Oryzias latipes: one gene and its partner. The protein of the gene in region 2 binds, or shares a complex with, the protein of the main gene of each other region. Links are inferred from orthologs where the notes say so. Each region holds a gene or a part of one and is shown on either strand. Other genes may lie near its edges.

Evidence for each region. The genes of interacting proteins can lie anywhere in the genome.
Region 1: exosc7 (region 2) and exosc5 share a complex: the UniProt entries of both Homo sapiens proteins name them as parts of the RNA exosome core complex. The link is inferred for Oryzias latipes from reciprocal best matches to the Homo sapiens genes EXOSC7 and EXOSC5.

What each region holds. Positions count from the first base shown.
Region 1 is NC_019873.2:26,312,581-26,317,335, reverse strand, and holds exosc5 (exosome complex component RRP46), read left to right. Parts: upstream 1-1,738; 5' UTR 1,739-1,784; coding exon 1,785-1,881; intron 1,882-2,900; coding exon 2,901-3,014; intron 3,015-3,565; coding exon 3,566-3,687; intron 3,688-3,771; coding exon 3,772-3,912; intron 3,913-4,391; coding exon 4,392-4,481; intron 4,482-4,569; coding exon 4,570-4,665; 3' UTR 4,666-4,741; downstream 4,742-4,755. Other genes in the region: catenin alpha-1-like, read right to left, coding at 60-243, 318-511. UniProt on the Homo sapiens protein: Non-catalytic component of the RNA exosome complex which has 3'->5' exoribonuclease activity and participates in a multitude of cellular RNA processing and degradation events.
Region 2 is NC_019869.2:5,727,390-5,732,418, reverse strand, and holds exosc7 (exosome complex component RRP42), read left to right. Parts: upstream 1-1,731; 5' UTR 1,732-1,813; coding exon 1,814-1,870; intron 1,871-1,963; coding exon 1,964-2,065; intron 2,066-2,137; coding exon 2,138-2,232; intron 2,233-2,913; coding exon 2,914-3,079; intron 3,080-4,150; coding exon 4,151-4,221; intron 4,222-4,300; coding exon 4,301-4,424; intron 4,425-4,498; coding exon 4,499-4,654; intron 4,655-4,723; coding exon 4,724-4,828; 3' UTR 4,829-4,892; downstream 4,893-5,029. UniProt on the Homo sapiens protein: Non-catalytic component of the RNA exosome complex which has 3'->5' exoribonuclease activity and participates in a multitude of cellular RNA processing and degradation events.

The DNA of each region.
Region 1 (4,755 bases), on a different chromosome or scaffold from region 2:
AATTTTTATCAGTCTTCCAATGTAAAAATTCCACACATTTCTGCAGAACTGTACTTTACTTTGACCACTCCCAGGAAGACGTTCTGCGTGGCAGTGATAAGCTCCTCTCTGTGCTCCGTCAAACCTGGCTGGATGTGGAGTTTCTGAGCCGCCAGCAGCACATGCTGCCCCGACACGGTGACCGACTCAAGAAGGGCGGACATCTCCATGTGCAACACATCATCATCCGTCTCTTGAATTTGCCTAAACAGAGAGTCACTTCGGTCTCTTGTGGATTGACAAAGGCAGATGTAATTGACTAGCAGGAATGCACATACCTGGAGGCCACTGCTGCCATGTTCTCAGTAGCTCTGGCCACAGCGTGAGCCGCTGCCTCCAGCCGGGTGAACTGCTCTGGCTCATGTTCACTGTCGCACAGCAGCACGAGGAGACAAAGGTGACTGGAGATTGGGGCAACCACTTTCTCCACTGCTGCAGTTTTGATAAAACTTTGATCCAGACATGAAGGCATAGTTTCATTTATCGGTGAATTCTTCCCTCTGCGAAAGAATTAGCTGTGCTGCATGTATTATTTATCATGCTACACAAAGTGCCATATGGCAGTTCCCCATAGCAACTGTTGTCACAACGTTATTTAGAATTAATAACATATAAATCATCATTTCTGACATTATTCATTGATTATTGACTGCAGTGGTGGTTCTGCACTAACTTACTCCCAGGGAGAGTAACTCCCCAGTGCAATTTGACGTTCTTTTGTGTTCCCTATTTTTATTTGGCCATTTTACACAAAAGATGCGTGAATTTTGTGGGCTCGTATTACGGGGGTGTCAAACTCACTCACACAGGGGGCCTAAACAGAAAACATGCTTTAAGTTGGGGGCCCAACAACATTTATTTACCAAACTAAAGCTACACTTTAAAAAACAAAACAAAAAATACTTTTAAACCTTTATAACAGAGGTTTTTTAACATAAAAATGAATAAAAACAGACAGTATTGTTAATCCAGAATAAATCAAGTTAAACCGTTAATAACGGTGCTCTCCATAAAAATATATTCAGTCAAAATTATACAAATATGAACATGCTGCAGAACAAAATAAACAAAGTCTGGAAATATTTAATTCAAATTATTCCGTTTTATTTGCTGTTTTGTCAAATTTTTTGTCAGCAAGTAAGTTCATTTCTGCTTGCTGTGTGACGTGCTGTGTGTGTCTTTGTGAAACGTATCAAAGGGATTTGATTTTTTTTTAAACTGCTATTATGAAAACCATTTATAGGTCTTATAAAACATTAAAAACTAAATCATATAACTCCTCACTGGAATTAATCAAAGTTTATTTTGGCATTTTCCTAATTTTGTGCAACACCAACAGTAAAAATTCTCCAAAAAGCCTTAATTCATTCATTAACAAATGATCCATTGTTTATGTCTAATCTCAAAAAGTGCAGCTGTTTTACTGCCTGCATTACCTGCTGTCTTTATGTCAAATACTGACACCAATTAAATGACAGGCATACGTAAAAAATACATTTTATATGGAAAATAAAGACACGTAATAAAAGTGTCCAACAACAACAATAGCAATAATCATAATAATAATAATAATAATGTTAATAATATATTTTTTAAACTACTTACTTTGTTGTTGACTTTCTGACTGTTTTTTATTGAACACAAAATTTAAAACACAACATTGGTTTTGATGCAGAGCCCCTTCGCGTCGGTAAATAGATGACGTCATCGTCCAGCGACGCATCCCCTTCCGTGTTGGCAACGTGATGGAGGTTTCTGCTCCTTCAAATGTTTCTCTCCGAGAGTTTGGCTGCGAGCAGAGTTTACTTTCTCGGCCGGATGGATCTGCGTCTTTCGTTCAAGGTAACAGCTGAAGGAAAATGTTGACTTTTTTCTTTAAGAATATGAGTACAACTCCCGATTCCGCCCAAAGAATTATGGACAAACTTATTATTTCAGAGAAATAATTTGACTCTCGACTGCTGGCAAACGATCTTTAAATGAGTTTTAAGCTAAGAATGTCCTAAAGTACTTTTTGTATTTGCTTTATTTTGGTTTTGCATTAGTTTTAGCTCTTGGTAAATGTTGTAAAATTGTTAATATTCAAGAACAAAAATGAGCAGCTAAATAATAACTAAATATTTTTACGAACTTATCTTTTCACATTTAGTTTTTTGTAATCAAAAGTCAACTGCTGTTAAACCATTAAGAAGCCAAACATTTGAAAAATAATTTCTAGTCATTTTTCTATAAATAAAGATGTTGAAATGTTGGATTCATCTGTTTTACTTTCTGTGTTCAGATCAGCTCTCTCAAATTTAAATATTTATTTCTTGGTTTACTCATCCTCTTTTTTTCATTCCCCAAATCATCTTTGAATATTTGTATCCTAGTGGTCATTGTGAACTGTTTACATCGCCGGCATCGGACTGTATAGTCTGGGGTCTTGGAGCAACATTTTTTCAAAGATTTTCTAATAATTTCCCTATAAAAGTTTTTTTTTGGGGTAATGCTTTAAATTATTTTTTTAATATGACCCCATCTTCTTTTTTATTCTTTTTTTTCAAGATATTGTTTAATATAGTGTATGGGATAGGCTCCAGCAGGCCTGTGACCCTGAAAGAGACAAAACGGGTTTAGAAGATGAATGAATTATATACTATGTAATAATTCTACAGTAAACCTGAAACTGAACCAAAACCACCACTCTAAGCAGCAGATTTGGTCATGCATTTACTGCAAGATTTACACTGTTTTTATGTTTTATAGCCAAGATCAAAGTTTACAGACACAATAAGAATGTAGAAATCACATCATTGTTTCAGGTTTGTCCTCTATTTTAATAGAACTTTGATCTTTGTGTTGTTTTTGTGTCTCTGGAGGGGACACGAGTGTGATGGCTGGAGTTTATGGACCTGCTGAAGTAAAGGTCAGTAAGGAGATCTACGACCGAGCAACTCTGGAGGTGCTGGTTCAGCCCAAAGTTGGTCTGCCGAGTAAGTTCTGCTGCATGTCCTGGAAAAGTCAGATGCTGTCACGTGTGTCTGGTTTTTCTGAAACCAATTCAATCCTTTTTGTTTTTAATCTGTTGTAGAAAAAAAGCAAAAACAACTACTAATCCTTGTTTTTGTTGCTCTAAAATGAATAAATCCAGCTTTAAAGAAGGAAGTCTGTTAAATGTAGAGACAATTATAATCACTTTCAATGGATTCAAATGTTTATATGCAAATATCCTCTTAAGCCTGGTTTCATTCATGTCTTTGGGTTGAATGGAAATCACAGATGCTGTTTTATTTCTACTGAATCACAGTAAAAAGATGAACTTCCTCAGGTCTCATGTGGGTTTTAGTTTCATCTGAAGGCTCACTCGTATCTCAACAGTTCTGCAATTTATAAATAAGCATTAAGACAAAGGTCCGATCAAGGTATTAAAGTCTTTCTTTAGGAATGTTTTGTGCAACTGATTTATAGGATTACGCCATAAGGGGGAGCCAGTGGATTCCTTATCAGCTTTGAACTCATATCCCATCATGCCTCTGTTTTCCAGGTGTGAGGGAGCGCTCGCAGGAGCAGTGTGTGCGTGAAACCTGCGAGGAGGCGCTGCTGCTCACCCTCCACCCTCGATCTTCGCTCACGCTGGTCCTCCAGGTGCTGCACGACGACGGCTCTGTATCCTTTACTAAACCCGACCTCTGAACCCGCGGGGGGCGTGGCCTAGCACCTGCCGAGTCGTCTTCCTTACCTGCTCTGCAGCTCCTGTCCTGCTGCCTGAATGCAGCCTGCATGGCCCTCATGGACGCAGGTCTGCCGATGAGCTGCCTCTTCTGCGGCGTGACCTGCGCCATCAGCGCATACGGGCAGATCATCACTGACCCCACCTCAGCTCAGGAAAAGGTCAACCAAAGATGCTGACACTAACCTGAAAATCTTCATTTTTGCTGCTTTGAATGTAGAAATATAATCAGAAAGCAAGTTTAACAAAAAGTTCTCAATTTATGGTTTAATTTTCATGAAAAAAAGTCACATTTCATAGAATCCCTAAAACATGGATGTCGGTTTTCATCAGATCACACCCCTGACCTAACTTTACTGGTGAAACAAAAATCCAGCTGTGTAGTTTAGATCCAGATTCCAGCTCAGGGGAGGATAAACAAATTTAAAGGCTAATAAAAATTCTAACTTTGCTAAAAAAAAATGGGTTCATTTTCCACCAAAACTATTTTTTTTTTATTTCATAAAAATGCAGTTTTTCTTTAGTGTGTCACCTTCAGTTCATCCTTTTGTCTCAGTGTTTCAGTTCTAAAACAGTTTGCCTTTAAAATTGGTTGTCTGCCCGTCTGGCACTAAAGTCCTATTTTAATTTCTTTTCAAAGGAGAGTCGAGCTTTGATGACTTTTGCCATCGACAGTAAAGAACGTAAAGTAATGATGTCATCCACCAAAGGATCCTTTTCCGTTCATGAGGTCCGTCCAGCCGTTTTTCCATCATCTTCCGCTAAGCTCTCATTTCAATCCTCTCAGATGTTTCTTGTCTTTCTTCTGCTGGTTGCAGCTGCAGCAGTGTGTAGCGGTCAGCCAGAGAGCCTCAGAGAGGATCTTCCAGTTCTACAGAGACTCTGTGAGGCGGCGTTACTCCAAATCCCTCTGATGGAGACACACTTTTGCCCGTTTTGTTCTACATTTTTGTACAACTCCTGATGTAATAAATGTTATCATCCACACCACTGCCTGTCTGGTT
Region 2 (5,029 bases):
ACTTTAATTGAACCGTCTCCACAGGATGTTGAGTCAACCCGGAAGTTCCCTCTGCTCTGGCAGCAAGAGCGGGAGCTCTGGAAGCTAATCACAAAAACAACAACACACATCTCACATTTACAGCTAAAACCTTTTTCTGGCTCAACAACCCACCTGTCACCCTCTTAGCTTTGTTGTCAAGAATCCAGAAGATTTCACGTTTCCTGAAGCCTTAGGGAATCGAACCACGTCCGCCCCGCCCGCTGTGATCGTTAGCTAAATCCCCGCTAACGCGTGTACTCAATGGCTTCTTCCTGGTTTCTGGTCTCCGTTTAATTAACAAGGTAATTTGCTAGCTAGTTCTTCGACTTAAACTTTAATAAGTCACTGTATTTTATGTTTTCTTGAAGGGTCTCATCCAGAAATCTCTGCGGGAGGAATAAAAACGCACCCATACCCAACCAGGAAGTTTGATTACCCCTAGTAGATTCGCCCTGGGTATGGTCTGTCAGGAGAGAACCCGGGAAGGACTTCCTGTAAACTGACCAATCAGATTATGGTCTAAAATTAAATCCACCCCTTTGGCCAAAACGCAGGGCAATTTTTCTTCCATTTAAAATCATTTTATTTTTTTTACAAGTACTTCCAAAAAACACCCAAATAATCATATTTCTGACAATACATACTACAATACAATGCAATCAAACCACAATTTACAGATCTGAAAATTAATGATATTCCCCTAAAAGATGAAAAAAAAATGCACCAATAAATTAGTAACTCTAACCTTTAAACAAATAACTTTCTGCAACTTTAGTATAAACAATAGACGGGACTTAGAAACCACCCTAATGAACACATTTTTTTCTTTATACACAAAGTACCCACTTCCACCTAAAATGAAAGAAACGCATTTTAAAATAATATCTCAAATTTACCCTGTTGGAGATTTTTTTACATAAAAGATTCAAATTTCAATCGGAGCCATGCCTATTCTGTTAATCTGAAACTGAAACGTTAGAACATCTCTGTTACAGTTACAGATAAAAATATTTTGGACTGATATTCACAATTGGTTGTCACTCAAAGTTTTAAATATTCCCTTTTTTCCTTATCTGTTGTTATTTTCTATATGGAAAATATGGACCCAGGAATTTCTGATGTCATTAATGTTGTTATTATTTAATGCAAAAATTTCATTCATTTATGTAAATGGAAAACTACATGCCCTTTGTTTGGTATTTTTTGAATTACTTTTCTGATTATTATAAGTGTCTTAAATGCATTCCAAACAAAAACAAGAAAACTACAGTAATTTATCAAAATATATCAAACGTACTGTTATTTTGAATTGTTTTTTGCCTTGCCTTTATCATATTTTTTAAATTTTGTTTTGTTTTTTCAATATGCGCATTTATAACGATTGTTCACCCTAACTTGTTTTGTATATGTGCATTTATAAATATAAAAAAATCTGAATATAATTAAATAGAAATATATTTTAAAACTGTCTATATACTCTTTATGATATGGACAAACATAGCACAAGCATCTACATTCCTACACAGAAGAAAAAAAAGATTACTCTCAAAAATGTATTATTATTGTCATTATTTTATTATTATTATTGTTTTTGTATTATTATTATTATTATTATTATTATTATTATTATTATTATTATTATTATTATTATTATTATTATTATTAAATTTTGTGATGTTGAACAGCAGCTCCCACTTCTTCCAGGTGGTGGCGACATAGTTCCTTCATCGAGAAAACTGTAGAAGAAGAGCCTCCCGGCACCGTTTCTTCTTCTTCTGTTTGTTGAGTTAACATGGCAACAGTTAAAGTTAGCGAGGCTGAAAAGGTGTACATTCTACACGGAATAAGAGTGAGTTGTTCTAGAAATGTGTGCTCTATTAAGCTAAATGTCTGTGAAGTTGTCACACCAACCTAAAGATGTGGATGTTTGTATTCTCCTCAGGATGATTTACGTGTGGATGGAAGAAGCTGTGAGGACTACCGACACATGGAAGTGGAGACGGATGTGGTCTCAAACACTGATGGATCTGCCAGAGTCTCCCTGGTAAAATCAACATTTACGTGTGAAAGATCCGCAGAAACAGTGTCTTTATTTTCCTTCCATCGTGCTTCTCAGGGACACACCGCCGTCCTGGTTGGGATTAAAGCAGAAATAGGAAAACCAAGACCACTGGTTCCAGATGAAGGATACCTGGAGTTCTTTGTTGATTGGTAGGTTTAGTGTGCATTTAAAGCAGGTTTGGACATCAAAATGTGCACAATTTGACATTTGACAGAATTGTATTGCATCAAAACAGTAAAGAAAAACATTGAATAGCCTCTATAGTTTATTAAAATGAATAATGTTTGCATTTTTGGCTTGATATAAATATTAGAAATACCTGAACCCTAAACCGTTACATATTTGATTTCTTTTTGGCTAAGTTGGGAAGTCTCTCTTGATGTTTTTGTTGAGATCATTACATGTTCTAAAGCTTATAATGCATGTTTAAATATTTTTTGTGTTTGTTTTTGAAGTTTGAAGGATGTCTTTGTCCTGCGAAGCATTTTAAAGTAATGAGGATGTTTTAAAAATAAAGTTTATTTTGGATATCTGTTTTTGTTTAAATCATCTTGCAGGATAATAAACTCCTAAACTAATAACTGCTGGGATTAACTGTTGCACCATTGACTCAGTTTTCCCCACTTCTCTCCGCTTTCTTCTGATTCTGTAACTCCTCATTCCGATTGGCTGAACTCACCTGATCCAGGTATTCAGCTTTAAGACGTAGAGGGTGTTCATGAGGACCATGCCGGGCTGTTCTGGTTTAAGAATCGGAACCAAACTGAGTTATTGTCAATGTTTGATGTTTTTTTTTGATTCCCTGACATTTTTTTCCCCAACACCCCCAGCTCTGCCAACGCCACCCCCGAGTTTGAAGGCAGAGGAGGTGAGGAGCTAGGGATCGAGCTGAGCAACACTCTCTACAGAGTCTTCAACAACAAGAACAGCATAGACCTGAAGGGCCTCTGCATCAGTGCTGGGGAGCACTGCTGGGTTCTCTATGTAGATGTCCTGGTGAGTCTCTTTAACATAAAAATATAAACACAACATAAAAATGTTAAAAATAAAACAATAAACACAACAACAATAGACGTAAATTCAGTAATAATGCTAAATCTTATGATTTTTAAGTTTTTTAGAATTTTGGGTAAAAAATTGGGTTAAAAAAACAGGTTGAAGTAGACATTTACATGTTTTTTGTTTGTTTAGGAAAAACTTGTTGCTGCATTTAGATTTTTTTTTTAAATAAAGTTAAGCAAGTGTTTTGTTTACCTTGTATGCATTAAAAATGAAATGCTGAAGTATGTCTGCTGTGCTGCTGAGGGGTAGCAGATGGGGTCAAATCAGGTTAAAATTAAGAAAAAATAAGGTTGTAAACTTGAAAAAAGAAAAAGAAGAATGTTTTGAAATGGTGTTAAACTTGAAATTATACATTCTAAACTTGAAGAAATACAGAAAATTGGATACAAAGATTGTAGATTTAAAACTTAAACTAAAAAAACTATAAACTTACAAATGTTACCAAATAAAAAATGATCTTCATTTGTAGCAGCTGCCGTTTTATATAGTGAAGTTTTGGTTTTTTCGTTTGTTTAACTAACAAAAACATACCAGTTTCTAATAAACATTAATTTTATTTCATTTTCACTGTAGGTTTATAGTTTTTTTATTCTAGTTTCATAATTATATGCTGTTGTTTTTTTTTCTTTCTAATTTTAAGCGTCATTTCTTCATAGTTGGGTAAAATAATTAAGAGACACTGATGTAACTCCATAGTAGCACTTCAACTTGTGAAAGTATCAAGAAATATGTATTTTATTTTATTTTTTGTTCCTTAAACCCCAAATAGTCATACCGGCCTGCAGTGGATGCAGTTTGTTTTTCATGGAGGAGGTTTGTCGGACTCAAGAAACACTAAATGAGTTGAAAGGCAGCTGATGTGTAATGAGGAAGTGAGGTCTACTTAGTCAGTCAGCCAGTTAGAAGAAATGCGGCCTGAGAAGGGGCGGAGCTTCACCTCAAAGGCCTCAAATGATTTGTAAAAACCACCACTTCATAAAGGCGTTTGCATCGTCTTGTTTGCAGCTGCTGCAGTGTGACGGCAACCTGTACGACGCCATCTCTGTCGCCATCAAAGCGGCACTCTTCAACACAAAGTGTGTATCAGTTTTTCACATTTCGTCGTGTTTGGAGACGTTTTCAGCTCATCCTGTGCTCCCATCATTTCTCCCCCAGAATCCCTAGAGTCCACATGTCGTCGGACGATGAAGGCGGGAAGGAGGTGGAGCTTTCAGACGACCCGTTTGACTGCGTGAGGCTGAGCGTGGAAAATGTTCCCTGCATCGTGACGCTGTGTAAGGTGAGCCGCTGCTCGCAGGTGAAGTCCGTGGTCGTAAACGCGACGGTTTGTGAAGAGTGGCTGTCGTTGAGCAGGTGGGCCACAGACACGTAGTGGACGCGACTCTGCAGGAGAAGGCGTGCTCGGTGGCGAGCCTCATCATCGCCGTCACGCACAGGGGCACGGTGACTTGCGTCAAAAAGGTGGGCGGCGGGAGCCTGGATCCAGAGAGCATCTTCGAAATGACAGAGGTGAGAGTAGACGACCTTTCAACGACCCTGACCTTTCAGAATAAAGTTAATGTTCTTTTGTTTGTGCAGGCGGGCAAACGAGTCGGGAAAGCTCTTCACGCTCCACTCATGAAGCTGCTGCAGCAGGAAGAGAGTCTGGGAAAGAAGAGAGAAAAAGTTGGCTTTCTTGGCTGAAATAAACTTTACTGTGTACTTTCATTTTTTTTTTACATAAAGCACATTTAACATTTTCTATAAATCTTAGTCTAAGTGTATTTTTCCTTCAAAAGAAGACTATCATCCAGTCTGTGCTTCAGCTGTCCCAGACCTGCTCTATGGGCTTCAGGTCAGGGGTCATTGCTGACCACACCATATGAAGCCACACCTACTTCCCGA